Elephas maximus indicus: one gene and its partners. The protein of the gene in region 4 purifies or fractionates together with the protein of the main gene of each other region. This does not show direct contact. Links are inferred from orthologs where the notes say so. Each region holds a gene or a part of one and is shown on either strand. Other genes may lie near its edges.

Region 1 (7,882 bases), on a different chromosome or scaffold from region 4:
TAAAAATTTGGTTTCCATATTTGAGCCTCCACAAACTTTCATATGTGGAAAATTTCCAATAGCTTGATCACAAGCAGCAGGCTGACTTCGTATCTTACTACTTGAAATGATTAGTTGACGGATGAGTTAAATACATCACTAATGAAAACATGATTACCTTCAACAAACAGCCATTAAATATGTATTTTGTGCAATATAAGCAAAACACTTTGGAAGTACTCTATATTTGCTAATTTAATCCAAGAAAACCCACGATACTAAGAATATCCAAATTTTTGAAGCCATTTAAAATACTTGAACTGATTGTCTCTCTAAAACAAGTATCTTTTCAAACCTTTGTCACTATATTTTTAAAAAAGAGTTTAAAATATTTATTGTTTGACAAGATTAAAACCTAAAATTCATTCATAAACCTAAAATTCAACACTAAACTCATAGAATTCTAAGTGAACCACAAATTACACCTTGCTGAGGGGGAAAAAAAGGACCCAAACACAGATACAAAGGTGAGCACCTCACTTTTAAAAATGTGTTGCCTGCATCTAAACATACTACTATTCCCTCAACAATGAAAAAAAGTCAAGAACTATAGCTTATAACCGGTTTTAAATATTTAGGTGCTACAATTTTTTTTTTAAATAAAATTTACTAATATAGAGAAACATCTTCACAAAGTTAAGTCTCTGTAAAAGATTTGCTCTATTAAGACTTTGGTACTCTGAGGCCAAGTATAAGCCATATAAGGAAACTGAAGTTCAATGTCATTTATTTTGTTCCGCTCTTTCAGATGCCCAAGAATAACCTCTTCCACTGCCTAACCATACATTCCAAAATCACAAAGTAAATCAGTAATGCATTTTAAACTCCTTGATAAAGCTAGTTTGACGTAATAATAATTGCTTGGTGGTTCACAAACACACACAGGTCTAGAGACTAGGCTCTGGGAAAATATTAAAACGATACATACTAAAAATTAAAAGATTCACTTTTTGAAATGTGGTTAGTAAAGTAACAAAGAACAAGCTGTGAAATACTTGATTCTGATTTTTAAGATCACCTCTTCTTTGAACTAAAGAAAGGCAACTTTTTCCTCAGGTTTCCGGTAACTACTTGAGGTCTCATGGGCAAGCAAAACATAAATTTATAAAGATACACCTACCAACGGAATACTGTATTTATCCAATATTTATTCAAAAGCACAGTATATTATCTTCACCCCCCTTTACCACAAAAGTACCGGGAAAAGCTAAACTTCAAAACACAGACACAGTAAAACACCACTGAAAAAACAATCCGGGTTTCCGGCAACCAAAACTAGTTTTATCTAAGAAGACAACCCATTGGTTCAGAAGTGTTCATAACTCTGACTGGTGGAACGTCTGCCATGCTTCATGAATCTCTCCCCCTCAGTAGGTACCTGGCATTAAGCAGAACCTGGTAAAAACATTTGTGGCAATACAAAAATGTAAATACTGCACTATTCAAAAAGTACTGCTTTGTATCAAAATCAATGTGACTTCCACGAAAGTCCTTTTACTTCTCTTCCTACACATTCGGTTCTCAGTTGCAAAGAAGTCCTGGCACGCAAATCAAACCAGTTACAGGTGCGTTGTTTTTTGTTTTTTTTTTTAAGTATACCTCTCTTCATCCATAACCCCTACCCCCTCCTTTTTCTTCCTACTAGGACAGTTACAGGAAAAATCTAACAGATACTTGCTTTCAATTAACGAAATAAGTATTATAAGGTTCTAAACGTCTGAAAGGAACAAGTTATTACCTAAAGAAATATATTACCCGCCCAGAAAAACGATTAAGAATGGCAACGCTTTTTTGTTTTTGTTAATAAGCTCCAATATATTTATAAGGGCTTGAACTACAAAGTCTCTGTATATAATTAACCAAAATAATCGGTAACAGTATGAACAAATGTGGCTGCCATCTCTTAAAAGCGAACCACTCGCTGCAGCGACCTTTCTTCCAAAACAAGAGTTGCCAGACTCAGCAACTTAATAAAAAAAATATACATTGTATATGTTCAGGAAAAGTAAAACTTCTGCACCTTGTGCTAAACAAAGGCACTCTTTCTTCGGACTGCAGAGAACTTTTCGTCCCACCGCATTCTTAAAATCTTTTAAAATAACCAGAGCCTAGATGGTAGAGGGGAAAAAAGTGGGGGGGGGGGGGAACCTCAGTACTATGTAACAACTAAACTATATTCGATATTACAAGAGAATTTAGGGCAACTTTGCGGAAAAGTGAGAAACACTAAAGTCTTTCCTGGCCCACGAACTTTGTGACTTCTAGACACTTTTCGTGAAAATTACCTTTCGGTCGGGCAGTGTCTCAGGGCAGCTTTTTCAAGGCTTCGCCTGACATGATTTCCTTTCCTTCATGAGTCACTTTGGATCCAGTCGAATTTCTCCCTCCGGTGAGAGCGGATGTGGAGCGGCCTCCCGCAGTAAGAAGAGTAGGTTGCTTTGGTGGGGGTTGGGATGCGGGCTGGTTTCCGGGTCTCGAGTTTTGCAGGAGTTTCCCAGCCCCAAGTAGGCTCTCCGCAGGGGGGGGAGACTTCTCACTCGTGACACGCCCGGAATTACCGTGCGAAACTCACTTCCTGCCTCGGCGAGAAGCAGGATCCAGCTCCGTCCAGGGGAACCCGGAAAACCAGCTCCCCGCACTCCGGGGAGGGGGCGTCCGCGGGGAGCCTGGGGCTCGGGCCCCGGGCGCCCCGTACACCCGACGGAGGCGGAACCCGGCCGACGCGGTACTAGACGCCGCCGAGGTGCTCGGCGAGCCTCGGCCGCACTAGGCCGCCACCTCCTCTTCGCTGCCGCCGCCCCCAGAGCCGGGCGGCGGGGTTATTGTCTCGATAGCGCCTGCCGCGCCCTTCGCCCGCGCTGCTGCCGCCGCCCGGAGCCGGAACCGAGGGGCCGGGGAGACTCGCTGGCGGACCCCTCCCCGGGCCGTCCGTCGGGCTGTCCGTCCTTCCGTCCGTCCCTCCCCGCCTTCCCTTCCCCGTCCTCGGACCCTCTTCTGCTCCCTCCCCGGTTTTCCCGCCGCCGTCCCTTCGCTCCCCTCAGCGCTCTTCTTCCCCAGCGGCTGTGGCTCCCCCAAGAAGCGCAGGGGGAGGGGACAGCCGGCGGCGTCTCCTCACGAGCTCGTGGGGCCGCGGCAGGCGCCGAGGCTGCGTCCCGCGCTGCCGCGCCACATTCACTCGAGCTAGGGACAGCGAGGAGAGGGGAGGGGAGGGGAGGGAGGGAGAGGAGAGAAAGGAGGAGGAAGGGGCTGGGGTGGAGAGGAGTTACTGCCTCACAGGCCGCGACAGCAACAGCGCCACCGCCCCGGCGAGGTGGAAGCAGCAGCGCGCGGCGGGGGCGGGGCGGCCTCCCGCCGTCTTCGCCCCAACCGCCAACAGCCGGGCTGGAGGTCGGCGCGAGCCAGTGGCTGCTCGCGGGGGCGGGCGGCCGACGTCGACGGCGCCGGGGGGCGGCGGGCGAGGGGCAGCGGGGCCGTGGGGGAGGGGCTGTCGGCGGCCGAGGGTTAGCAAGTGAGTCGCTGCGCGGCGAAGGGCCCCGGGGAGGCCTATCTGCCTCTCCCCAGCCCGCCCCACGACCCCGCACACACCCGCTCCTGAGCGGTCCGAGGGGAGTGGCGGTGCAGACGCGGACCCTGACCGGCTCCTCGCAGCGCCGCGCTGAGCCCCGGAGACCGAGAGCCCACAGGCCTCCGCCGCCCCAGCTGACTGAGTTTCTTTGTACGACAGTAATCGGTGCGGAGAGGTTGTCCAAGTCCAACCCCGATTTGAAGGCTGCAGGTATCTCTTTCAACTGCAGCACTCCAACTTCCGCTAATGGCACGCTCAGGTTGCAGGAAACCACAGCGGCATTTCGGTGAAGCTTCCCACGCTGGCCCTTGCTCGGAGCTTGCTCCCACAGCCACCCAGCTGGGGCTCCTCCAGTTCTCAGCCTCACACCGGCAGGGAGACAAAGCTGGCGCTGGAAGGAGGAAAATGGCCCGCGAAATTGCCTCAAGATAGTGCCTTTGTTTGAAGAAACATTGGATATACTCCGAATGCGACGTAGGCTTCCAACCCCAGCGGTTTTGGTGGTGCAGTGAATTGCGTTGGCCCTAATAATTCAGCCTGGCAGGGTTTGCGTTTATTGCGGAGAGAGATTTTTAAGGATTGTGTCAACACATATGGCACAGAAATCCTCAACCATAACATCGCACTGTTTTTTGCAGTTGCTGCTTTAGATACCTTAACAGGCAAGACGGCTTTGTTTTACCCGGAGAAGAAAAGATACTGAGCAAACCACACACCCCACCCCCTACCCCCGCTGTGCTTAACTGTGTACAGTGATGGTAATTAGTCTCTGGGTCCCTGAAGTCACTGGTTCAGTTCTTCCGTCTGCGTTACAGAGATAATTATTTATTACCAAGTATGAATAAAGAGTTGAATACCCTGCAGATGATTTTTGGCGCGCATCCAACGGGAGGAGTTCATTAAAAACCATCAAAGAATCATTTACCAAAGTGAGTTGTATACTTGTGAAAAGCACTTGAAATAACCCTAAAGATACTCAGGACATTCTACTAGGGGCGGGAGCATTTTAACTAACCCCACCTCCCACCTCTAACCCCCCATTGCTGGAATTAACCCTGGTAAAGGAGCCGTTATAGGTTGCTATGAGTCGGAATCGACTTGACGCCAACGGGTATAGGAGCTCTGGTGGCTAGTAGTTAAGAGCTGGGCTGCTAACCAAAAAGTCGGCAGTTCGAATCCACCATCCGCTCCTCGGAAACTGTATGGGGCAGTTCTACTCCGACGGCAACGGGTTTGGTTTTGGTATTAGTTCCTTAATGTAGAGCAGAAGTTGAAGATTTACTAATAATATCAATACCAGATTGTTCAGGCTTATTCAGTGCTTAACTGGAAGTAAGAGTGTTGTAACTAGAATAGGAAACAGCAACCATATATGCCAAGCGAGGTATCCATTTTATATGAATAAGAATCTTAGCCATTGTATAAAATTTAAAGTTAGCATATTATATGATCAATTTTTAAATCCTCATGAGAAAAGATTTCTTCCTCACTTCCAAAATCTCCTGTGAGTCTGAACAGAGCCGGATGTTCTAGCTATGAACTGAAAGGATCAGTCCCCTAAATCATTCCAGGGTGAAGAATCTCCCATACCAGAGACCAGCTGGATCTTGGAATTAGAATGCTAAATCTAGTCTCAAGTTGATTCAACCAAAACCTGTTGCCTTCAAGTCATTTCCGACTCATAGCAACCCTATAGGACAGAATAGAACGGCTCCATAGGGTTTCCAAAGAGTAGCTGGTGGATTCAAACTGCCAACCTTTTGGTTAGCACCCGAACTCTTAACCACTAAGCTGCCAGGGTTTCCCAGGTTGATTCAAGAGCCCTTTAAATCTTGGGGTGTCCAAAGTAAACCTAACCACCACCACCACTGCAAACCTAAATAAGTAGAACTAGACCACATCCCTAGGCTAAGACCTGCCCTGTCCTAGTCATTTTTTACTTGAACTCATACTCAGGACCAACCTGGCTAACCATCATTCAGGCTACAGAAGTCCCTATAACCCAAAAGCCCTCCTTCAGCTCACCTGAAATTCTGCCATTGGGGTTTTTTCCCTTTGAGTAGTTTCATCCTCTGGCACAAAATCATAATCCTGGAAAATGTAATATTTTAAGCCTTATTAGTTATTTAGATCTAATTCATCAGATTATTTCCCAAAAGCAGATTTGATGGGAGGGAAATGGAAATAATACATGCTGAGGCTGAGTATGTAGGAGAGGGAAATGTGGTTTCATTCCTTGGAATAATGTATGAAGTATACGATTAAAAAAAAAAAAAAACGATTAGAGACAATAAAATGACTCCCTGTTGATTGTTAAATAAGTGTTGCTTACTCATAATATAAGAATGAGCCCCAAAACACTGTTCTTCAAGGGTGGAAGCCAGGATACACTCGTCAATAGTTATCTATGTTTTGTCAAATATTTCTTTCATAATCCCTTTATAAAGTAGGCAATTGGTTCTTCGAGAACTGTACCTTCAGCAGTGATTCTGCATCTGTACTCATAGAAAATGGTGAAATGACAGCTATATAATCAGGGTATATGACTCATCTTTGCTATTCATCGCTGACCACTTACTTCTAACTCATATGAACAGCACATACAGATACAGCCAAATCGTGTAGTTGTTCTTTTTTATAACCAGGCATTCCTGCTCCATGCTTTACAGATTAGTTTCTTATGAAATTTCTCCCTCAAGACCCTGAACTAAAATGGACTTCACTTTTCAATCATGATTAAAAGAACTAAAGCCCCACCCTAAACAAGCCTTCCTAACTGTGATTGTGTAATGATTAACCGATTGTGTAATGATTAGCTTGATCTTCTCCATTGTTATTCTCTAAATGATTCTTTGCAAAAAGCAAAGGAATCCTTTAGGATTCTTCTTCCCAAAGGTTGAACTCAGGAAAGGAATTACTGCCTAATAGAGATAAGCCGTACTTCTTAAGGAGATGCCTTAAGGCTTTAATCATTCCATGGAATACACACAGCTCCCATCAGAAAAAAAAGTACCGGGGTATAAGGCCAGGTGCTTTTAAAAGGGTCCCTCTATCATTTCCCCAAACCAGCTGAGCAGCTATGCAGAAGCATTAGAGAGACAAAAGTAGCAGGAGGAAAGAAAAGGTTTGGGGTGATAATTCTTCTTTTCTCCTTTTTTCAACCCCTTGTAAAGAGTTGGTTACCTAAAATCAAATTTTTCATCATAGTGGTGTTTGGAGAAGATCAATCTCAGACCAGAGTACGGTTACATTCAAAAGAAGTCAAGAAGCACCGTTGTTCTTAGGTGTCATCAAGTCGGTTCTGACTCAAAGTGACCCTACGTACAAAAGAATGAAACACCGTCCAGTCCTGTGCCATCCTCACAATCCTTACTATGCTTGAGCATATCATTGCAGCCACTGTGTCAGTCCACCTTGTTGGGGATCTTCCTCTTTTTCATTGACCCTCTACTTTCCCAAGCATGATGTTCTTCTTCAGGAACTGGTCCCTTCCAATAACGTGTCCAAAGTATGTCAGAGGAAGTCTCATCCATCATCCTCGCTTCTAAGGAATATTCTGGCTGTATTTCTTCCAAGACATATTTGTTCATTCTTCTGGCAGACCATGGTATATTCAGTATTCTTCACCAACACCATAATTCAAAGTATCAGTTCTTCTTTGGTCTTCCTTATTCATTGTCCACCTTTCACATGCATATTAGGCAATTAAAAACACCATGACTTGGGTCAGGTGCACCTTACTTCTCAAAGTGATCTCTTTGTTTTTTAACACTTTATAGATGTCTTTTGTAGCAGGTTTGCCCAATGCAATGCATCGTTTGATTTCTGGACTGCTGTTCCCATGGGTGTTGATTGTGGATCAAAGTAAAATGAAATCCTTCACAATGTCAGTGGTTTCTCCATTTACTAAGATGTTGATTATTGGTCCGGTTGTGAGGTTTTTGTTTTATGTTGAGGTGTAATCCATACTGAAGTCCTCTTCACTTTCAGCAAGCAAAGTTGTGTCATCTGCATATCACGGGTTGTTAATTAGTCTTCCTCAAATCCTGATGCCACATTCTTCTTCATATAGTCGGGCTTCTCGGGTTATTTGTGTAGCATACATATTAAATAAGTATGGTGAAAGCATTCCTCCCTGACACACAAGTCTGTCTTAGAAGAAGTATTGCCAGAATACTCATTAAAGGCAAGGATGGCGAGACTACAAGGGACTAGTCCCTGGAGACGGACATCATGCATGGTAGAGTAGAGGGTCAGTGAAAAAGAGGAAGGCCCTCA
Region 2 (7,321 bases), about 47 Mb from region 4:
ATGGGCTCAAACAAAGCAATGATTGTGAGGATGGTGCAGGATCAGGCAGTGTTTCATTCTGTTGCACGCAGGGTCACTATGAGTCACACTCAACTCAACAGAATATAACAACCTAACAAAAAATAATAACTAATTCTATGGGGCAGTTCTACTCTGTCCTATAGGGTCACTACGAGTTGGAATCGACTCAACAGCACTGGCTTTGATTTGGTTTTATACCAGTAACTATTCTGAGCACACTGTATATACTAACTCATTCAATTCTTATCACAACTTAACAAAAAAAACCGTTGCCAACTCATAGAGACCCTATAGGACAGAGTAAAACTGCCCCATAGGGTTTCCAAGGAGTGCCTGGTAGATTCAAACTGCTGACCTTTTTGGTTAGCATCCATAGCTCTCCACCACTATGCCACCAGGGTTTCCTCAACTTTACAAGGTAGTTACTACTATTATTCCCATTTTACAGATAAAACCAAAAAAACCCAAACTGGTTGCCCTTGAGTCAATTCCAACTCAGAGTGACCTTATAGGACAGGTAGAACTCCCCTCTAGTTTCTAAGGAGCGCTTGGTAAGTTGGAACTGCTGACCTTTTGGTTAGTAGCCATAGCACTTAAACACTAGGCCACCAGGGTTAAACATAAAAAAAAAAAAATGCACTTCTATAATGTAATGTTACTTTAATTATACTGACTGTTCACAGTATATTACGTATTATTCAATTTTTTTTTTAAAGAAGTCAACATCCTATTGCTTGATTCTGCTCCACTTGAAAATAACAGTATGCTGTGCAGTACTCAAAAGAGGGCATACAATGTATAGGTGGAATTCAGAATATTTAATAGATTTTGATAATTTTTAGAAAAAGGAGTATCAATTCCAATACAGGAATCAGAACCACAAGGAAAAATACAAGTAGAAGAGTAGATAGAACAAATACTGCTATCAACAGCATTTAATTTCCTTCTACTGCAGTCAATTTCTAGACATTTATTCAACTATGCTCAACGTACAAAGTCTGAGCATTTTACTATTAAATAATTGGCCAATAACGTGGGCCATGAGGGAGAGGATCAACATGAGGGAAAGGACCACAAATAATTCATTTTCCTCTGTTTTTTTTTTTTTTTTTTTCCTGGAATACCTCCCAAAGAATGGAAGGAAACAACCTTTCAGTGGGGCCCCTTCCCTCTTGTCTGCAGCCCAGTCTACTACCAGACAACCCAGAGCCCTACCGCAGTTGCTAAAAGCCAGATACCCTAAACGATTTAAGATTGTTTAATCCCTTCTGGACACAGGAAATAAGCAGGAATTCAGGAAATAGGGTCTTTAGAGCTGATTCTGTGGTTCTACGGGTTAAGTCACTAAACTTTTCTCCTGGAGCAAAGTTCCGTTTACGGTATGAGACCACAGAAGTGGCCTGGTTACTTTTAACTGTGGTAGCACAAAGGTGAGTGTGCCTTTGCTGACTATGTCTTCAAAGGTTGTCCACTTTCCCCTGCAAAGAAAAGCTGTCTAAAAACTTAACGCCCGAGGCCAAAAACGCGACCTGGAGGCTGGAACCCGAATGCGGAGAAAGTGAAAGTAGGAAGTTCCAAGGAAAGGGAGCAATGCACTGTTTTGCTTGAGAATTCGTCTCCGAGTTCTACTCTGACGAGGAAACCCTGTTTGGAAACTTCTCAGCCCAGAAGGAATGAATGTTGAGGGGGAGGAAGCGAGAGCAGGGTCGCGTGTTTCCTTTGCTCCTGTCGAAGCCGGGGAGCCCAGGAGTTCCCCCAGAAGGGCGGCTCTAGGAGAGCTCCTGGGACTCAGCCATCTTCTCACCTGAATCGGCCTCTGACTCAGGCCAGTGACGGTCACAACGAGGTCGAAGAACCTAAACTTGCCGCACGCCTAGATCCCAGCCCTGGGGGAAACTTGGCGACGACGGACAAATTGGGCCCACGTCCGCCCCAGCAACTGAGGACCGTCTGTCTTTCGTTCCGCTGCTTCCAGTGCCCAGCTGTCTTGCAGGTGCTGGGGTTTCCAAACGTAGTTCCTGAGAACATAAATAAGATCCCACCATTTCCACGTTTAAATTCACCTTTACCGTTTTTATGTTGTTGCTGTTGTCTTAATGTCTGAGGAAACTTTAAATCTCGCTCCATTTTTATACCTAATTTCTACTCTCTTCAGTTTGCTAAGAACTTATGTTCAATTTCGATGTTCTAGCAACACTGTTTTATGTTCCAATTTCTAATAAAATGTGGGCATTTCTGTCTCAGTAGCTATACTTGTTTTAGAAGTTTTTGTTCTTTTTCCTCCATTTCATTACAAAATAAGCCATTCTCTAATCCTGTCTGTTAGGTCACCTTCATATCTTGCCAAGTTAACAAGTCAGCTGACAAGAGAAACAGCTTTGGTTGTAATGTCAGAATTGCTCTGCTTTAACTATATGTACAATTTCTTAAGAGTCCATACCTCACCCTCTGAACTCTGCTAAATGGCAAGTGTAAAATGGGATTTAAATTTAAATGTAAAGCAAGTACTTGGTTCAGGTGTAGAAACATCTGTGAGACTAGTAAACCTTATCATACAATGTAAAAAACTAACAAAAGTTAGATAGGCATCAAAAATTAGAAAATTTAAAAGACTTCTATTTTTTACCAATGATTAATGAAATTTTACAAAAATTTGGTAAGATCTGCACATGTTCAGGCCGGGTGAAGATATTATTTTAATGGCTCTTAATATAAAATGTATTTCAGAGACAAATGATTCAACTCTGAAATGGCTGGTTTGTACAACTCAAATGTTTTCCTTTAAGGATTAACTGAAAATTTCAACTTCTTCCTCAGTAAAATGAAGATAACAGCACCTACATCTCATGGACTGTTTTGAGAATTAAATATCATTTGTAAAGTGATTAATAAAACGCCTGGAAATCAAAGGCAACAAAGTACTATACAGTGAGTGCATATTGAGTTAAAATAAAAAGGTTTCTCGATTTTATTACCAAACCCCAAACTACACAGATAACTATTACATTAGTTAAGATACATGTAATACAACCAAAGAGTAGTGATACATGTAATACAACTACAGAGTAATAGCTTTATTGAGGCTCTATCCAGTGTTCAAAAACAATCATATAACATGCACCATATTCAATTCACAGTGCTTCCAAATGACATTCAATAAGAAATAAATGTCATTTATCTTGGGGGTTCCCATACACTATTTTATTTCTAATACTCTGCATGAGTGTTTTGCAACCCTATTTATACAGTGATAATCAATTTTCAGAATACGAACTCCAAGAGGGCGGGGATTTTGATATTGTGTACTATCATGTCCCTAAAATCTACAAAAGTGCGTAGCGCGTACATAATAGGCTCAGTCAATAATTTCACTGAATGAATGAATACAGTGATAATAATATCCAAAACCAAACCAAACCCAGTGCCGTCGAGTCGATTCCAACTCATAGCGACCCTATAGGACAGAGTAGAACTGCCCCATTGAGTTTCCAAGGAGTGCCTGGTGGATTCTAACTGCCGACCCTTTGGTTAGCAGCCGTAGCACTTAACCACTACGTCACCAGAGTTTCCAATAATAATATAAATAAGAAAAATGAAATTCAGGTCGTACTATTAAAAATTTTCTAACAAATAAAAATGAGTCATCTTAACAAAGCAAACATATTTTCCAGGTATTTTTCTCTCTTTTTAAAGTGTACATTTTTAAGTAACATAGCTACCTACACCCTGGGACTTAAAAAAAAAAAAAACCTTCATCCAATAATGAAAAAGGCTAACATCTTTAAAGGATTTTATTTCGTAATGCCATCATTAGAAAGAATGTAAAACAGTCAAACACCAAAGTTTCTCAGTCAGCACTAAAAGAAGTAGGCTTGGGAGTCCTCAGAAATGAAGCCTGGGGGCTCCAATCAAAAGCCTTGGACTTCCAAATAAAGTGAAGAGAACTCATTTCTACCCAGGTGAACCTGGCTGGAAGGAACAGGGTCCTACACTTTCCAGATCATGGGACGTCTTTGAGGCCTCACTATTCAGAGGGAAAAGGAGAATATAAACACCCAGAGCCCATTAGCCCATAACCAATAGCCTCTGCCTCACCCCCTAGCAGAGGGCACACGCCAACCTCCACCCGCACACGTCTGACTCACACCCTGAACCCAGAGACCGGACCCTGCACCCACAGGTCTGCAGGCTCACTGATGATCCCGGGGGGGCTGCCTCCAACCAGAAGCTCCAGCCTAGCCCCTCCCACTCCGGCCACCGCCTCCGGAAACGGCCGCGCTTGTTGCCACGGCGACGAGGAGCAGGGTCGCTTCCCGGCGCGGCGCCACTGAATCTCTAGGCGCCAAGCAGTCACGCGCCGCGGCAACGTCCGGCGTGATGATGTCACACAGGCGGCAGCCAATAAAATGAGGCGCTTAGGAAGCTGGCTTGGGTTTGAATCTTGTGGCTGATTTTGAAGCGCGGTGAGTCTGGTATCAAAGTGAAGTGGTAGCGGTGGCCTCTTGTGGGCTTGAGGTGAGTGAGGGTCACGCGAAGTGGAAACTCTGGTCTCTGGGTTGCTCTTTCTAATGACCTGCCCCACTGGGAGCGAAGGGTCCCGCCTCTTCAGGTCTAAAGAAAGGTCGGTCCAAGTTGTGCTTGTTGACAAACGCCGGAGCGTTGGGTGGGGGCTGAGGAGTTGTCAGGGCTCCTGAGGAAAAAGTAAAATGAAGGACGGGCTCGAGAACGCGCTAGAGCAAGAGTTAGCCTTAAGGTGAGCCCTTGACAGCTCAGCACGAAGGCAGGAATCACCTGCCTTAAATTCTGAGAGGAAGTCGGAAGTTTTAAAGGGCATCTTGGCCCCCCTTCCCAGACTTCGGCATAGCACTTAGTTGTCCCCTACCTTGCAGCATGAAGTTCCTTCCAGACTCCAACTTTGGAGACGCAGAAGTAAGCCTAACTCAGTGCTTAACTATCAAATGGAGAACACTGGTTCGCCAAGACATAAAATTTTTGTCCAGTGAAGATCTGTTGTTAGCCTGGCACAGGTCAATCGGGAGCCCACCCCAAGCTCCTGTTTCTACTTTTGTAGCATCAAGATAAGACCTCCCCTGACTGCCTCACGGGATTACTGATGATCAGACCAGGTATGGAAGGGATACTGCTTTGGTAAAGTGCACTGCTAATGAAAGACACTTTAAGCACTGAGAATCAGTCTTTCTGTTGTCTATTTTTAGTTTCTGCAAAACTCCTTTAGCTGCTCATTGGGCGCTCAGTTACAGAAAGGTCAAGGCTGGCTGTTGTTTACTATATAAGAAGAGATTATTTGGCCAGAGCTGAATAAGTTTGCTGTATAATATGTAGTACTGGTTATTAGCTGTGGAACATTAGGCAGAATGTATAGACATTCTATAGGTTTTATGTGTTAAGTGTCATTCCAGCACCCTTTCCCCCCCCCACCTTAGGTTTTGTGGGGGGATTTTTGCACTCTGGTACTTGGGAATATAAGGTCCAAAGAGTTGATAGTGCTTGTTATTAAATTCTATTATTTTTTAAGAACTGTTTCAGTAAAATAAAGAGTATCTGCCTTTAATAATCATAACTAATCTTATTTTAAGTTACTGAATAGAGATTTACAAGTATATAATATTTTCAATTTAAAGTGCATCTTGTCTTACTATAAACATACATCAAGCCAATTAAAGCACACAAGAAAATGTTTTTTGTACTACCAACTATATGAAAACTAGGAGGAAGAAATAGCCCAGCAGTCAATGTCACCCTTGCCATTTGAACTTTTGTTTTCCGTGATGCTTGTGAGTCAAGAAAGCAATGGCTCTAACACATTATTCAAAAGAAAGGAGAAAAATATTAGTGGTTGGGTTCTGGAAGCCCTGACAGTTTGCCCAGTCCTCTCAATTGAGTCTTTTACATAGCATATTTAATTTTATTGATGTTAGATGCAGAGCTGCTAGTAATGTCTGTTGCACCAATGTTGTGACAGCTTTAAAAAAAAAAACGAACACAGCATAATCAAATATGATGCTGAATGTAAGTTCTCTGACCTATTCTTGAGATATGTCATATTACAGGGCATGTATGGCTTCTTCCTGAATTGATATGCTTACTCTGTTTTTATAGCTCCATTCACAGACATGGGTCTGAAAGATATACAGGATCCATTGCCTTTACCTTTACAAAAGGGTTGTTACTTTTGAAATACCATAAAAGAGCATGATACTAATTATCTACCATAAACTTCCCTTCAAGACATGTATGGTGTTATGGGAAAATATTGATCTTGGAATCAAAAAGTTTGAATGTCATCTCTGTCCTTATAACTTTCAGAACCTGAATTTCTTCAGTAGATTATGATTATACCTACTTCAACAAGGTGGTGTGAGTTTTAAGTTAGAGATTATAAATGACAGTGTCAAGGATAGTTTTCAGCCCCCCAAAAAAGTCTGAGTCCAAACCTAATTCAGATTTGAGTTTGTACTTAAGAAATAATTCATAACCATATCACTCCATATCCAGGATAATTTCTCCAAAATTTCTGTACTTTCGTTTGGAAGCATTCTCTTCTAATTCGAGTAGAGCCTAGTTGTTAACAACATAGATTCTGAATTTGGGTATGCGTTTTCATTCTGGCTCCCCACTTATTAGCTATGTCAGCTTAGAAAAATTGCTTATCCTTTCTAAGGCTAAATCTCTGTTTTTGTTAAGTGGAGACAATAATAGGACCTACCTTCTATGATTATTATAAGGATTAAATGATTTGATGAATGTCAAATGTTTAACATAACATCTAGCACAGAGGGTACACAAATGTTAATGATTGTTTTTCATTATTACTAGTTATCACCATGTTGATCTAATCCAAGAGTTCCCTAATAATAGTATATTTGCTTTAAAAAAAAAATGGCTACTGTAAGATACCTGACAAACACATGGAAATCATAAACTTTCAGTTTGATTTCAACATTTGTTCAATGAGCTCCTATACTAGGCTCAGAGGTTTCTATCAAAAATAGGTAAATATATGTTTTTAAGTTTTTCTATGAGAAAATATCTGGAAGTTGTATATTTATATCAGGGAGAGTAGTGATTAAATAATTGGACTTTACATTCAGCAGCCTGAGTTCAAATCTCATGTCTCCTATTTCCAGTAGTGTAACTTTGGCCAGTTAACTTAATCTTTCTATACTACAGTTTCTCCCTCTATAAAACAAGGATAATCATAATACCTACATCATAGGATTTTTATGGGGATTGTTGTTAAGTGCCTTCAAGTAGATTTTCCACCTATAGCTATCCCATG
Region 3 (7,969 bases), on a different chromosome or scaffold from region 4:
ACGGTCTTGTCCAGGGAACTACTAGGCCCCAAGCGAGCCCAAGGCTGGCCCTACCTCCAGCCTCCTCCTGTGTCAGCCCAATCCTCAGCTTGCCCCAAGTGGCACAGTCCTTCCCACCTCCCACCCGTCCCACCCCCAGGCAATAGGGAGATGATCAGGAGCGTGGGCTCCAGAGCCCAGCAGTCCTGGTTCAAATTCAGGCTCTGGCCCTTGCTGGCCACGTGACTGGGGGCAAATAACTTCAATTCTCTGACCTTGGTTTCCTCATCTGTAACACAGGAATAAGCGGCAGCCTCTCCCTCACAGGGCTCAGTGAACACTAACCCACAGGGTGCGGCAAGTAGAGCTGCTGCCTGAAGCTCTGTAACGACACGTTCCCCCAGCGTGTCCCCCCACCTCTGTGAAAGCAAACCCCAAAGGCTGGTTTCTGAAGCAACAACAACTTCAGGAAGGCACTGGCAGAGGTGCTTCAGGCTCTTCCCGCAACAGCCAGGAAGGGCCCTCAGGGTAGGCTCCAGGGACTTCAGCCTTCTCAGAAAACAGCCCAAGGATTGAAAAGACCTCCCTCCTCCTTCTCTCCTCCTGCCCTCCCTACTCCTGGCAACCAGGCCCCCAGCAGGGCCAGAGAGAAGGCTGCTTGGAGCCCCTGTTCCTCCCAACCAGAGGATCCAGGTGCCATCCGGACTGGGTCTCCACCCTCTGTCCTGATCACAAGGAAGATGTGGAGAATGTGCATCCTAGGAAATGCCACCAGGGAGGAACATGGTGCCCCCCTCAAAAAATAAAAAAAATGACAACTGCCCCTGCCTTTGATGGGCTATCAACAGGTCAAGGGTAGGACCCTAAACAGTCATAGATAGGAAGGGCTGGAAAGTTGGGACAAGGACCTTAAGGGCTTCTGTTGCTCTCAGTTGCTCTCAGGGAAAATGGGGAGAACTCCCCTCTGGGGGACAGAGAGCTTTAGAAATAAAGGCTAGTTCCAGGCTACTCGGCCCAGGCAGCACTCAGCCAGGCCCAGGGGAGCGTCTGGCCTGAGGAACAGGCTCACAGGCACCGCAAGTGGGCAGACAGATGGACGGTCACACAGGAACCCAGAGTTCTCAGCACCCTAGACTCCAGCCCTGGAGGGCGCTAGTTGCTACTGCAGGTGTCCAGTGCTGGGCCCAAGGCTGCGGACTGGAGGAAGGGCTAAAGCAACAACAGTCTATCCACAGCAAAGCAGAGCTCAGGAAGCCGCCGCTCACCCCTATAGCTGTACTCCCCACACCACCTGCCCCAGAGACAGCTCTCAAATCCAAGGCATCGTGGGGCAACCCAGATTGTTCTCCCCACCATTGTGTGGTCGGGCTATGCCCCCAACCTCTCAAGGCCTTGCTCCTCATTTATTCCTCAATCTCCATTCTCAGCCTGTTCCAAGGACTTTGGGCCAGGAACTCTATAACCTCCCACCCTTCTCACCTCTCCCTTCCCCTCCCAACCTCAAACACTCAGTCCAGCAGAAGCCCCATCCAGCCTCCCATTAAATCTCAGGCCTATAAAGGGATCGCTGCCCATGGAGGACTTGAGACAGGGTCACAGTGACCTCCTGACTCCCAGGATCTGATACAGGACTGGGCACACAACAGGGTCCCTGTATACCTAGAACAAGGCCTGGAAAGGCAAGGCTGGAGGTCAGGTGTAGTTGTGAAGGCTTCACATAAACTCAGTCTTGATGCGACCTCATTTTCCCTTTCCTCCAGATAAGCCAAGGGTGCAAAGCTAAGTATGGGTGTTCTCTCTCTCACAAAAGGTGGGGTGCGGGGGGGGGGATGTTGAACTGGGGAAAGGATCTCCCCATCCCACACCCTCCTGTCTCCCCAAGAAGCGCTGCCATCCTCTGTACAGCATCCTTCCATCTCCTCATAAACACACCCCCAGCTAGAGGGTGCTTAGGTTCCCCTAGCCTCCAGACTGCCTGCCCCTCCCAGGCCCCTCCCTGGGCCTGTGGTCCTGGGGACCCAAGTAGAGGCCAGGCCAGGGGTCAGGGGAAGGGGGAAACAGCTGCCTCTGACCTTCCTCAGCCCCTGGGGCAGAGAAACACCCTTCCTGATTCCCCAGTGCCAAGATTCAAGAGGAAAGGAACCTAAAGCCTATCTTCTCCGTCCAGCAGAACCCCTGCTCAACTAACCGCAACACAGGTTCGAATCCCTTCTGGTGCATGACACAGGGAGCCGGCAGTGGCACCAGGAGCCGGCAGTGGCACCAGGAGCCCCGGACGTAGGACCCTGTATCCTCGCCTCTCCCGCCGCCATCCTGGTGGGTGTGGCGCTCCCATTCAGCCCCATTATCATCTTCTCGCAGACAGAATCGCTGGACGTCCTCTCATTATACCCCTGCGAGGCAGAGGTTCTGTCCCTCAGAGATAACCTGGGGCGCTTCCCACCTTCACCTCGGCTGACGCAGGAGTCTTGGGAGCTCCCGTCCCCCGATATCACCGCTCCCCTTCCCAGGGGTGCCGAGACCGCGGAGGCTCAGAGTTACTACTCGTCCAAGGTCACACAAAGAGGCGGTGGCAGTGGCGGGGGGGTGTCGGGGCTGACCCCATTACGCCCCTGCCCTCACTGTGACACCCCTGCCCCCAACAGCGCCCCGCGGAGAACACCCTTGCCCCACCAACTAACGGTCACCCACGTCTCCGGGTTCTGTCATCTCCCCACCTCAGGGGCCCGGGAAGCTCTCCAGAGCCCGGCCCCCCCAATGGAGCCCCCCGCCCCAGTCCCTCCCCGACAGCCGACGGGGTCCCCAGTACCTTCTGCCTAGGACGGGGCCGGGACCGGGAGGGGATCTAGGCGAGCGAGGCGGAACCGGCAGGCGGCAGAGGAAGGTCAGTCTCGCCAAGCGGGGCACACCCCGGGGCTGGGCTGGGCCAGGACTACAGCCGCAGCGACGGTGGCAGCAGCGGCGGCGGCAGCAGCGGCGGCGGCAACAGCGGCGGCAGCGGCGGGGGCCCAGCGCAGAGCACTAGCAGACAGCCCGCGCCGCGCCGCCCGCCTCACCGGCACGCCTCCGCCTACGCCCATTGGTCGGTCCGAGGGGCTGGGCGAGAGCCTCTGCCGACCAATGAGCAGGCGCCAGAGAACCGCCAACAGGCGATATGCCGCCAGAGTCACGTGCCGGAGGCGCCGCGACTGCGCTTTGCGAGTCCGAGCCAACCAAGGCCCGGCGAGTTCTCGCGATGAAGACAGCCGGGCCGTCCTGACCAGGCCTGGTGCCCGGAGGGGCAGAAGGAAAGGGAGGTGGGAGGAGCCTCCTGGTAGGCCCCGCCCCCGCCCCACCTCCGGCGGTGCAGCTTGCACCTCCTGCCTTGGCCTCCACCTGGGAGGTGCCCTCCGTGGACCCTGTACCCTCGGGCGGCAGTCGGACAAAGCTTGGGCCGAAATGCTAGGTTCAGAGGCAGGTCACCTTTCTCCCTAGGCTCCCACGCCCTCCTCGGCAACTGATACGGGCATCACTAGGTCCTGTCCCAAAAGGCCCTGAAAAACCAAAACCCGGCGCCGTCGAGTCGATTCCGACTCATAGCGATCATATTGGACAGAGTAGAACTGCCCCTAGAGTTTCCAAAGAGCACCTGGTGGATTCCAACTGCCAACCCTTTGTTTAGCAGTCGTAGCACTTAACCACTACACCACCAGGGTTTCCTCCAGGCCCTGAGGAACCCTCCATTCTTCCCCCTGTGACCCTCGGCCTCTTCCTCCTCCACCCCATACACCTGCCTCGGAGGAGGCGCTCCTGCTTGGACCTGACACAAGTCCTCGGAGCCCCGCCCGGCCCGGAATAAGCTTCAGAACAAAGAAAGCACGTGGGGGTGGGGGTTGGAAGAGACTGTGCAGGCGCCCCCGGGGACCTCAGCCTCTGCTCTCAATCTCCATGGAGGCAGTCGCCATGGCAGCGAGATGCGCCTAGCTCGGCGCCGTGGGGTGGGATGTGGGCGCCTCCACCGCGCGAGGGAACGAGAGGCGTGGTTCTCGGATCTTCAGGGGTCCCAACAGCAGCCCCACCTGCCCATCCGTGAGCCCACCCCTCCACCCCGCCCTCCGGTTCCGCCTGCGGTAGACAGGTTCCCAAGTGCCCGCGGGGAGCTGCGCAAAGCTTGGGGCTCCCCTTCCAACGTGACTAGGGGGGAGATGGCTTGGGCGGCTGGGGGCCCCGCTTCCTTTCAGTAGGGCCGGGATTGCGGCCTTTGGAGAGCCCTCAAGGCTTCCACCCTCTGGATCTCTGGCTCGCTGCGGCCCCTAATCTATATCCCAATCTCCGGCCTGCATGCAGTTGGCAAATTAATCTTCCTGAGCTATTGTTTCCACCGCCACCCTCCCCGGCTCCAAACAGTCCCCCGACTGTCTCTAGCTAGCAGAGCTTCGCAAACTTTTTAGCAGCACCTTGGGTAAATCGTGCGCACTCTGGCGTTTGAGATGTGGGCATCCAGCGCCGCCGACACTGGGAGCTTTCCACGGCCTGATCCCAAGTGACCTACTCCTGCCAGAGGCTTTTGCCCTCTTACACCCCTGTCGCATGGGCCCTGCTGTGCTCCCCAACTGTATTCCCATCTCTATTCTTTTCTTCAGAAACCGTGGTGGTGTAGTGATTAAGAGCTACAGCTGCCAACCAAAAGGTCAGCAGTTCGAATCCACCAGGAGCTCGTTGGAAACTATGGGGCAGTTCTACTTTGTCCTGTAGGGTCGCTATGAGTCAGAATTGACTCAATGGCAAAGGGTTTTTATTCTTTTCCTCAAGTCCTAAAGTTGGTAGACAGTGGGCCCAAAGTAGCCTGCAGATTTTGTTAAGCCTACCTGGAGCTTTTTTTTTTTTTTGGATTCCAGATTTCTAGGCTTCTTTGGAAATACCAGATTTAGCAACACAGGTTCACTTTCTGCCCTTGCACCAAACTCTGGCCCTGAGTGGTAGGGCCACTCCAATTTATTATATAACAAAACTGATTACCCGCCGTGTCTAATCCAACTCATGGCAACTCCGTGTGTATCGGAGTAGAACTGTGCTCCAGAGAATTTTCAATGACTGTGACCTTTCAGAAACATCACCAGGCCTTTCTTCCAAGGTACCTCTGGGTGGTTTGAACGGCCAGCCTTTAAGCTAATAACCCAGTTCTTAACAGTTTGTACCACCTTAAAAAAAAAAAAAAAAGCCCACTGCCATGGAGTCAATTCAGACTCACAGTGACCCTATGGGCCCCCAATTTACTGTATAGTCTCTACCACTCCCTGTTTCCTCACCTTTGTTTTTCCTTCCAGGTCTGTGCAGGCATTTCACTTTGTGATCCTGCCCTCCTCCTTTTACTACCCTCCCACCTGGAATGCCCTTCCCACTCTCCTTTCATACACAAAACACCCTTCCTTCAAATCCAGGTTAACGCCTACCTTTTTTTTTTTTTTTTTATGAAGTCTTTCTCCTCACAACCATCTTTGGTGTGGGCTGTGGAAAACACACAGACTAGCAGCCTGGGGCTATTTCCTTACTGGCAATTCCTTGTAACAAATATTTACTGTGTGTATATGGTAAGCAAGCAACTGTACTAGGCTCTGTGGAGTTGAAAGCACTCACAGCTTCGTGTGGGAGGCACACCCCACAAAAACAGCCGTGGTATTCTCCCTTCCAAGTACTCTTCATACTGCTAAGTGGTGGGCAGTCTGGTTCACTGGCCAACTGGAAGGACCTGCAATACTGAGTTCCCCATGCCTGGGGATACTACAGGCTCCCAGGGAAGTCCCCAGAGCCACAGTGGGTACGGATAGTTCTGGAAAGTCTCCAGAGGAAGAAAGAAAAGGAAGGAAATGACCTCTTTGTGCAGGGTCTAATGTACATGGTTGCCCCACTGCTGCCCAATGGGCCTGTGTACCCAGAAGAGGGTGTGTCAACATCAACGTGATGCTGAGGCCCTGGGACTTCCTGTGCAAAGGGCCTTACTAGAGGGAAGCCCTAGGCCTCTGCCAGGCTTCCTTGAGATGGGGGCAGTATGGTAAGGAATTAGGAACACTCCGAGTTAGGAGAGTAAGTTGAGCACATACAGGACATCTTCCCCAGCTGTAAACGCATGGTATTCTGGATTCTATTACTTTTAATAATAAAAAACAACTATGACCACTTTGGAAAACTGTTTGGCAGTGCCTAATAAAGCTGATAAATACCAATCCTATGACCCAGCAATTCCACTCTTAAGTATACAGCAAGACACATGTATACAGGTATTTATGGCAGTGCTATTGTAATAGCCCTAAACTGGAAATTACCCAAATATCCATCAACAATAGAAAATAAATAAATTGTGCTCTATTCATACTTGGAACCCTGGTGGTGCAGTGGTGAAGAGCACGGCTTCTAACCAAAAGGTTGGCAGTTCGAATCCACCAGCTAGCCTCTCTTTAGAAACCCTATGGGGCAGTTCTATTTGGTCCTATAAGGTTGCTATGAGTCAGAATCAACTTGACAGCAATGGGGTTGTTTGTTTGTTTTAATCCATACAAAGGTATTGTTATGGATTGAATTGTGTCCCCCCAAAATAAATTTTGGAATCCTAACCCCTATACCTGTGGTTGTAATCCCATTTGGGAATAGAGTTTTCTTATCAGTGTAGGGTGTATCTGAAATCTAACCATTTCTGAGACACGAATAGAGCAGATTAGGCACAGAGAAGTAAGCACAAATGAAGGGGAAGGTAGGTGTCACATGGAAATTGCCAGGGAACCAAGGAATGCAGGGGCTGCAGAAACAGAAAGAGATATTGCCCCGGAGACAACAGAGAGAGAGCCTTTCCCTAGAGTCAGTGTCCCAAATTCAGACTTCTAGCCTCCTAAACTGTGAGAAAATACATTTCTCTTCATTGAGCCACTCACTTCTGGTATTTCTGTCGTAGTAGCACTGGCTAAGACAGGTATGTTATACAATAGTAACAAATAACAATCTACTGAATACATACAACAACATAGATGACTTCTGTAGATATAATATCAAGCAAAAGAAGTCCAACACAAAAATAATATATACTGTATTGTACATTCTAGCACGTGTCTTTAAGTGAATGTGTGTGCATTTATCTTGAGTAGAGTGAACTACATTTCCCAGAATTCCCTTTAATGTATGTTTTTTATTTAGGACGGATCACAAGAGACATTCTTGAATGAGATTTGGAGAGTAGAAGAAAAGCAGTGGCATATTGTTTTTTACACTTGGAAGGTTGGGGCAGAAGCTTTGTGGCCCAGGCATATTGTTACTGGTGAGCTGGCTAACCTCATTGACTTGGGGTAGTAGCTGGGCCTTCAACTACTCCACCTGATTCCTGAGCCAGATATGTGTTTAGCTCTATGATGAAGGCTTCCAGCTTCTCCTGTAGGACACCTACACCACCAAGGTTGGAGTCAGTGAGACCCAACATGGGTTCCAGTTTGTCCTCCAGAGGTTTGGCTTATGCTCATGGATTCAAACTTGTCCTCTCTTCCCACAAATTTATATCCATCCGCCCTTGTCAATTGTGGACTTTAAGCTCCAGCATCAGATGCAAAAACAACAGCCATACAGAGAACGTTCAACCAGCTCCCACAATTACATGAAGTTAAATCCCTGTAACAAATCCTTATTCTTCTCTGATTGAACTCTGGTACAATAGCATAGGCATATTTAATTTTTTTATAAGAAACTGTCAAACAGTTTTGTGAAATAGTTGTACTAATTTATACTCCCATCAGCAGACTATGAGAGTTTCAATTGCTTCACATCCTAACCGACATAAAAAAAAGAACCCTGCACTGTGCAACCTGGTTAGTTCCACCTTAACCTGGCACTCTGTTCCAGTTGCTAGAATTCTGTTATTGACAAAAAGCTCACTTTTTTTTTAAATTGGTCACCAAGATCTGTAAATTTTATTTCTCAATGATATTTTATTTTATTGTGCTTTAGGTGAAGGTTTACCACACAAATTAGT
Region 4 (7,476 bases):
GCTTTGGCAGAATTGCGGGGTGGGGTGATGGGCCGGCCTCCAGGATTCAGGCCGCTGAACTGCCCGTATTTCCCCTTGTTCTTGTCGGCGGGTTTGAGGATCTACAAGAGACGGAACTAGTCAGACTCTCGGGCTGGGCCACAGGGCCTAGTGCTCACCCCTACAGCCACCTGGAAGACGCACCTGAGAGCCCATCACTCCCCGCCCCCCCGGGAGAAGCACATGAGGTCACCCCCCCTCCCTACAGCCACCTGGAAGGAGCACATAAGAGTCTCATCCACACTCATCATGGCACCAGCGTTGTCAAACTCGCCACAGTAGTTAGGAGCTGAGAAAAGTGTCACCAGCTGCCGCTTGGCAAAGAACTCGTAGCCGTCTTCCACCACCTGGGCAAGGGCAGGGATAAGGAGTTTGGTGCGGAAATGCCCTGCCCGTCCCCACCCCCTGCGGACCCAGCACTGTCCGCCCACCTGATGCGCCCGGCAAATGAGGTCCAAGTCATGTTTGTGCAGGAACTTGGCCACCACCTCGGCCCCGAAGGTAAAGGAGACACCGCGGTCGTTCTCGCCCCAGCCCTGCACGTCCTTGTCGGGGTCGGACCACAGCAGGTCGCACAGCAGGCCCTGGTCAGGCACATCGGTGGGCCGCATGATCCGCCGGATCTGCTCCATGGATTGCAGGTCTGGGGATAGGCCTGGGAGACACACGCGGCTCGATGCCTCAACAAGCCTCCACCAGGGAGCCCACCTCCAGGCAGCTGCACCAACCACCTCACCTTCCCCACCACCACCACCACCACCGCCAGGCCCAGGCAGGCCTCTTCATCCTCCCCTCAGCATTTACCAATCGCTGAGCACAGGGGCAAACAAACAAGAATTCCCTGCCCTCAAGGAATGCCCACAGCTCTCTGGAAAAAGGAGATAAGCAAATTCCACCACAGTGCACCCTAACAGAGGGTGGTGAGGCAACTTCTTGGAAAAAGTGACATCTAAGACAACACGCAAGCCGTTCCAGGCGACAGGACACTCGCCCTCCAGCGAACCATGCTTCATCCCAAGGCGGTGTGGCTGGCCCTGCCTTCGCAGGCATTCACTCCCTCAGCAGCACGACGCCGGCTGTAAGAAGGCGCTCGCCAGCCCCCAGGCCCGCACCTCCATGGCAGCAGAAAATCTTCTCATCCACAATGGCCGCGATGGGCAGGCAGTTGAAGCAGTCGGTGAAGGTTTTCCACAGCTTGATGTTGTAGCGTCTCTTGCCTGCTTGGAGGAAAGGGCTGGCTCTGAGAAGGCTGTTCACTGACCCCACCCCACCCCAGCCTGGGTCTCTGGGCCCCCCAGGGTGCTGCGTGGGCCATCCAGACCCAGCTGGGAGAAGAGAGTGAAAGGCAAGGGGGCTAACATTCCCCACGCTGCCTACCACTCCTCCAGGATGGAGTTCTAAAGCAGCAGAGTCCACAGGAACGCCCAAGTTCCAATCCAGAACCTCAGGGTTGGTACATCCTCCGCCTAACACACACCCACCCACCCCAACCCCATGAGCAGGGCCAGGCAAGACCTGATCTGGTTTAGCTCAGCTTCTGGCCAGCAGAGTCCAAGCCAGTTAGACGTCCTGAGTATTTAAGTAATGGGTGCACTGGAGGTGGGAGTGTCACCAGGCAGAGCCTCCAAGAAAAGCAGTACGAATTCAAATTGCCAGCAACCATTCACCAAGCCCCTCCTGAGTGTATCCCCTCCAGGGAGGGCGGGCCAGGCAGACATGCCCTGAACCAGACCCTGCCTTTGCGGAGCTCAGTCTAGCGGGAATCTGGCAGGCAGTATGGCTAACGCCAAGCCAATATGAGGGTTCCGCTGAACAGAGAGGAGGGCATTTGAGCTGGGCAGTGCCCAGACCCCGGACCACTCACACTCGTCATAGAAGCCGTAGATGCGGTTGATGCTGGCACACTCGTGGTTCCCACGGAGCAGGAAAAAGTTCTCGGGGTACTTGATCTTATAGGCCAGCAGCAGACAGATGGTCTCCAGAGACTGCTTGCCCCGGTCCACGTAGTCCCCCAGGAAGAGGTAGTTGCTCTCCGGAGGAAAGCCGCCGTACTCAAACAACCGCAGAAGGTCATAGTACTGGCCGTGGATGTCACCTGTGACCCCGGGAATCGCGTCAGTGCCAGGTGCAGGGTTTGCAAGTGAAGCGGGGTCAGGTTAGGCTCCAGAGAGGAGGGACCCAGACACTTGAGGGGCCTATGCCACTTTCAGGGGGCTCACCGCATATCTTGAGGGGCGCCTCCAGCTCCAGAAGAATGGGCTGGCTCAGGAAGATCTCCCTGGACTTGAGACACAGACCACGGATCTCGTTCTCTGTCAGCTGGACATTCTTCCCAGGCCGTGAGCCTTGCACTGGGGGAGAAAAGGGCGTCAGGACTCTGGGTCTTCAGGCAGGAGGGTGGGCGACACGGGGTCCCACGGTACCCCTCCTGGCCCAGGGACAGATGTTGCTGTCGCCTGGGACCTCGGCCTCAAGCCCCCCAAGACAGGACCCCACTACCCTCAGGGCCCTGTACATGGGGTTGCTGTGCGCCAGGCCCGCCGCCCCACACCTCAGAGCGCGGGACCCCACCCCGGTCTAGGCGCCTCAGGTCCCGCACGCACCCGAGACCCCCGGCCCTGGAGAGGGGGCTGCTCCGCGAGCCGGAGCGGGCCTCGGACCCCCCAGGCGTGCCCGCGCGTGGGGGAGCGGCGGTGGGCCGGGACCTCGGGGCGTCCCCGCCCAGGCTACGCAGGCCCGGGAGGGGCAGGCTCGCCGCGCGCCACTTCCGGGCCGGGCGGGGGGCCAAGGCGGGGCGGGCGCGACCCTGCCCGGCCCCCGCTCACCTTCCAGAAGGCGCCCGATGATGGAGTCCAAGTTGAGCTTCTCGGTGTCGGACATGGCGGCGCCGCCGCTCCGACCCTGCCGCTCCGGGCCCGCTCCTGCCGCCCGCCCTCCTGCTGCCTCCTTCCGGCCTGGCGCTCTTTCCGCCCGCCCGGGCCGCCCCCGCGCGCCTCCCGCCCCGCCTCGGCCGCCGCCCGGCCCGCGCCCGCGCCCGCGCCCGCGCCCGCGCCCGCGCCCGCGCCCCGCGCTCTAGCGCCCCCTCCGGACGGGAGGCGCGGCGCCGCCACGGCCTTGGAGGCCGGGCCTCGGCGGTGGGCGGGCTTTGGCGGGGTGGGGTGGAGCCTGGCTGTGGCTTGGGGGCGTGGTTTGTGGGGCGTGGCCACGTCTGGTCCCGCCCCCCGAGGAGTCACGGAGCCCGGTTCTGAGGTCTCTCACCAGAAGTCCTATGGAAGTTGTTTTTCCCTTTTAGACTGAACAGCCCTTTTTCCACCGCTGCCCTGTGGTGGTTTGGCCCTGGGGCGAGGGTGGTGCGAGCGCATTAATAACCGCGACAAACCCAGCCCTGTCCGTCTCCCCAAACGTGGCGGGTTGAGTCCTAGAAGTTCAGAAAAGGAAACTGAGGCTTCGAGATAGCAAAGGGCTGACCTGAGACAGTGATCTCACATTCACGGAGGGTCTCATTCTCCTAAGTCTCCCTGGCAACCCCCGGGCGGCCGACCAAGCCCGAAGACCACCTGTCACTGACCTTCAAACCCATTCTTGTCCACACCGAACCAGAGTAGTGCTGGCTAAATGAAAGTCCTGTAATTACCTTGTGAGTAATTACCTTGTGAGTAGCACAGTTAAACAATGTGCACGCATTATGTACGTGTTAAAAGCGTAACTTTGTAAAGAGCAAACAGTAAATAAGCCCTAATTCTCATTGGAGCCCCACCTTGGACGTCTTACATGCCAGGAATCTAAATCGGAGGCGACACCTCCTCTCTACCTCTCTACCTAGCAGACCCGCGCCACACAGAAGGCATAGAAACCCACATCTGCGGCCCCGTGGGAGGTTGGGAGGGGCCGTGGCTCACAGGGCACCAGGGCAGGCAGGAAGAGCCTCAGAGAGGAAGGGGTGACCTCCCTACTTGGGAGGGGCCCCTCAGCGCGCTGCTGAAGCTAGGGTTGAGGAGGAAGTGAGAGGAGGAGGTGAGGTGCAGCCCAGAGGTGAGCTGGGCTGGTGGGGGCAGCAGCTGGGCCTGGGTCTGGATCTTTGTACAGAGGTCTGGCCTTGCTGCCATTTCAGGGCCTAGTCACCAGCCCCTGACTCCGAAAAAGAGGGAACCCAGGGGCCTTGGTGAGATACCCTGAAACCTACCCCTCCGACTCAACATCTAGGCCCTGGGGCTGGGGCCTGGCTGGCTGTGAGCCCCGAACCCAGACGGGTCGGGAACTGCCCTTTACCCTGGCTCTCCCCGCATCTTGCAGCCGGTGGCATCTGGGGTCGGGGGCAGCATGGCCCAGGCCCTAGGGGAGGACCTGGTGCAGCCTACCGAGCTGCAGGATGACTCCAGCTCCTTGGGGTCCGACTCAGAGCTGAGTGGGCCCGGCCCATATCGCCAGGCTGACCGCTATGGCTTCATCGGCGGAGGCTCAGCAGAGCCATGGTAAGTGGGGGGGGGGGGGGGGGGAGGTATAGAGTGCCGGGGCTGAGGATGGGGCCTGAGGGCTGGATTCTGGAATGACGTCCAACTTTGAGCATCCTGGGAGGGTCTGGCAGTAGGGAATGGGACTCAGTCGGTATCACCTCTTTTCAAGCTCCAGGTAGAACCCTGAGGCAGGAATGGCTGGGAGGAAATCCCTATATGTCTCTTGTACCCTCCCAAATCTCTGAGGGTTGACACCCACCACTGGGGCTGAACATCCTTCTGCTTTTAACCTCTGGCACAAGAATCCCAGATCCAAACCAAAGAACCCACAATATCTCCTTCCTCCTTCCCCTAAACGTACAGACAGGAAAACCAGTCCAGAGACAGGTACTTGCCTGAGGTCACACAGTAGATTAGAGACCTAAACTCTCCAACTCAGGACTCCTGGCATCCAGTCCAGGGCTCTGTCCAACTCACCTCCCCTGTGACTTATCTGTCCCTGTCCTGGGGGGAAAGCTAGACAACCCTTCCCCCAACAGGCACTCCCACACCCCTTCAGTCTCTCCTGTTTCCGCCCACATCAGAGCCACATCCTTTCCTATCCCCATGACAACCATTGGCAACTCCTGGGTCACAGGTCACTCCCTGGGGCTCCTGAGAGATCCCAGGCCCAGGAGCTGGGCTTGCCCAGGTAGCATAGAGGGTGGCAGGTGGTGTGGGCTCCTGGGAACAGCTGTCCAGCGTCTGGATACTGTGCCATGTGCCCCCAGGCCAGGCCAACCCCCTGCAGACCTTATCCGCCAGCGGGAGATGAAGTGGGTGGAGATGACCTCGCACTGGGAGAAGACCATGTCCCGGCGGTACAAGAAGGTGAGGGGGACAGTGGGTCCACCCAGGCCTCCTTATCCGACCCCCTATGCTTCACTTGCCCCCACCCCCACAAAAGGTACCCATCCTGTGACCCAGCGTCTCCTATCTTTGCTCCCAACCACCCAAAGTGGCCCCTTTCCAACAACAAGTCATGTGGCCTCATGGAACCCCAGGCCTCTCCCACAGGAGGGGACGGATTACCCAATAAAAAGATACACACGGGCTTACTGGTGCTCATTTACTAATCTGTAGTGTTCAGTTTCTCATGAGGCTGGGTCTCTGTCCAGAGCACTGGCCTTTCTGCCACTTCACATGTGAAACCTGTGTGAGATTGTGCACTAAAGATTAGTAAGTAAACACAATTAAGGCAGGGGATACCTTGCTTACTGTAAGCCAGCGTGTACCTTGCTTACTGGTTAATCAGCCTCTGCCCACAGGTGAAGATACAGTGCCGGAAAGGCATCCCCTCAGCCCTGAGGGCCAGGTGCTGGCCCCTGCTGTGCGGGGCCCACATCTGTCAGGAGAACAGCCCTGGAACCTATCAGGTGAGGGACTTGGCTGAGCTCCTGCCTCCCCTTCCCAGAGCTCCTTTGAGCCCTCACACCCACCTGCCTGCTTGCCCACCACAGGAGCTGGCCTCGGCCCCTGGAGACCCCCAGTGGATGGAGACCATCGGTAGGGACCTGCACCGCCAGTTCCCTCTGCACGAGATGTTTGTCTCACCCCAGGGTCATGGGTACGAACCAGTGATGTCCAGGAACCCCACCCCAGCCCCCTGCCCCTGCATCTCAGGGGAGCTGGCAAGGCCCAGGAAGGCTGAGGCCCGGGGAGAGGCTACCTGGGGGGAAGGGTGTCTGGGGACTGGCCCTAACGAGGTCTCCTGGCACAGGCAGCAGGGGCTCCTGCAGGTCCTCAAGGCCTACACCTTGTATCGGCCAGAACAGGGCTACTGCCAGGCCCAGGGCCCTGTGGCGGCCGTCCTGCTCATGCACCTGCCTCCGGAGGTGAGTGGCCCTGGGCCCTGCTCCAGGGACCTGAGACCCTGACCCCAAATCTAGTGATCCAGGCCCCCCGTGGTCCTGAGCCCTGGACCTATGACCACCAACCCCGGGGCCTCTGGCTTCAGGTACCTGGATCTTTGACTCCCAGACCCTGTCTGCGTGGCCCAGGCATCATGACTACCAACATTAGGGACCTTCAACCCCAATGACCTTGACTCCAGGAACCTGGGATCCTTGAGCCCTAACCCTTACCCCAGTGATCCAGGAGTCTGGGCCTTATCGCCTTGACCTCATGACTCCTGTGACCCTGTGACCATGATCCCTGACCCCAGGAACCCAGGACTTGAACTTTGGGACCCTTCCAACCACGGTACCCTCAAATTCAACACCCTGAGCCCTATGACTTCCAACCCCTTAAAGCTATCATCAGGCCCCTAGCTTAGGCACAGGGGGAGGCTTTGGGAAAGAGCCTACCAGGCACTGAGCAGGGTAAGGGCAGCCCTGAGTCCCTCAGTCCTAGGTTTCTAGGCCCCATTCCCCTTCCTCCTGCCCTGTGTTCCTCTTGAGGCGGACACTTATGGCTGGCCCTCCTCCTCAGGAGGCCTTCTGGTGCCTGGTGCAGATCTGTGAGGTCTACCTCCCCGGCTACTATGGGCCGCACATGGTGAGAGGTGGGATGGGGGCCCCCGAGGCTGGGGAGGGTGCGATGGGGAGCCAGCATGGCTAGGAGGGGCCGGGCAGGCAGGGGGAGGGCCTGGGGGCAGAGGAGGCCTGGGCTGGGGTGGGGGACTGATGGCTGGCTGACAACGGGGCTGCAGGAGGCAGTGCAGCTGGATGCTGAGGTGTTTGCGGCTCTGCTGCGGAAGCTTCTCCCGAGGGTGCACAAGCACCTACAGCAGGTGGGCGTCGGGCCCCTGCTCTACCTGCCCGAGTGGTTCCTGTGCCTCTTCGCCCGCTCCCTGCCCTTCCCCACGGTGCTGCGCATCTGGGACGCCTTCCTCAGCGAGGGTGAGTGGGGTCGGCGTTCGCTGGCCGGGGAAGCCTTGGCGGGGCACACAGGGAGTGAGCGGCCCAGCTCGGGGTCCGGCAGCTCTGCTGCTGCCAACCCTGGT

The links.
Region 1: the proteins of PPP1CA (region 4) and ERBIN purify together in Homo sapiens (affinity purification with mass spectrometry; 3 studies listed by BioGRID and IntAct, counting the BioPlex papers as one, with this or other methods). This does not show direct contact. The link is inferred for Elephas maximus indicus from reciprocal best matches to the Homo sapiens genes PPP1CA and ERBIN.
Region 2: the proteins of PPP1CA (region 4) and KIF18A purify together in Homo sapiens (affinity purification with mass spectrometry; 3 studies listed by BioGRID and IntAct, counting the BioPlex papers as one, with this or other methods). This does not show direct contact. The link is inferred for Elephas maximus indicus from reciprocal best matches to the Homo sapiens genes PPP1CA and KIF18A.
Region 3: the proteins of PPP1CA (region 4) and ADISSP purify together in Homo sapiens (affinity purification with mass spectrometry; 4 studies listed by BioGRID and IntAct, counting the BioPlex papers as one, with this or other methods). This does not show direct contact. The link is inferred for Elephas maximus indicus from reciprocal best matches to the Homo sapiens genes PPP1CA and ADISSP.

Annotation. Positions count from the first base shown.
Region 1 is NC_064820.1:70,759,845-70,767,726, reverse strand, and holds the start of ERBIN (erbin), read right to left. Parts: upstream 3,007-7,882; 5' UTR 2,325-3,006; intron 1-2,324. UniProt on the Homo sapiens protein: Acts as an adapter for the receptor ERBB2, in epithelia. By binding the unphosphorylated 'Tyr-1248' of receptor ERBB2, it may contribute to stabilize this unphosphorylated state.
Region 2 is NC_064825.1:83,030,757-83,038,077, reverse strand, and holds the start of KIF18A (kinesin-like protein KIF18A), read left to right. Parts: upstream 1-4,316; 5' UTR 4,317-4,536; intron 4,537-7,321.
Region 3 is NC_064843.1:42,368,163-42,376,131, forward strand, and holds the start of ADISSP (UPF0687 protein C20orf27 homolog), read right to left. Parts: upstream 3,014-7,969; 5' UTR 2,789-3,013; intron 79-2,788; exon of another isoform or gene 1-78. UniProt on the Homo sapiens protein: Adipocyte-secreted protein (adipokine) that acts as a key regulator for white adipose tissue (WAT) thermogenesis and glucose homeostasis at least in part through activation of protein kinase A (PKA).
Region 4 is NC_064825.1:130,432,949-130,440,424, forward strand, and holds the start of PPP1CA (serine/threonine-protein phosphatase PP1-alpha catalytic subunit), read right to left. Parts: upstream 3,015-7,476; 5' UTR 2,920-3,014; coding exon 2,865-2,919; intron 2,391-2,864; coding exon 2,259-2,390; intron 2,135-2,258; coding exon 1,904-2,134; intron 1,257-1,903; coding exon 1,152-1,256; intron 695-1,151; coding exon 471-694; intron 387-470; coding exon 252-386; intron 102-251; coding exon 1-101. Other genes in the region: TBC1D10C (carabin), read left to right, coding at 4,360-4,511, 5,264-5,363, 5,801-5,908, 5,993-6,367, 6,963-7,028, 7,183-7,372. UniProt on the Homo sapiens protein: Protein phosphatase that associates with over 200 regulatory proteins to form highly specific holoenzymes which dephosphorylate hundreds of biological targets.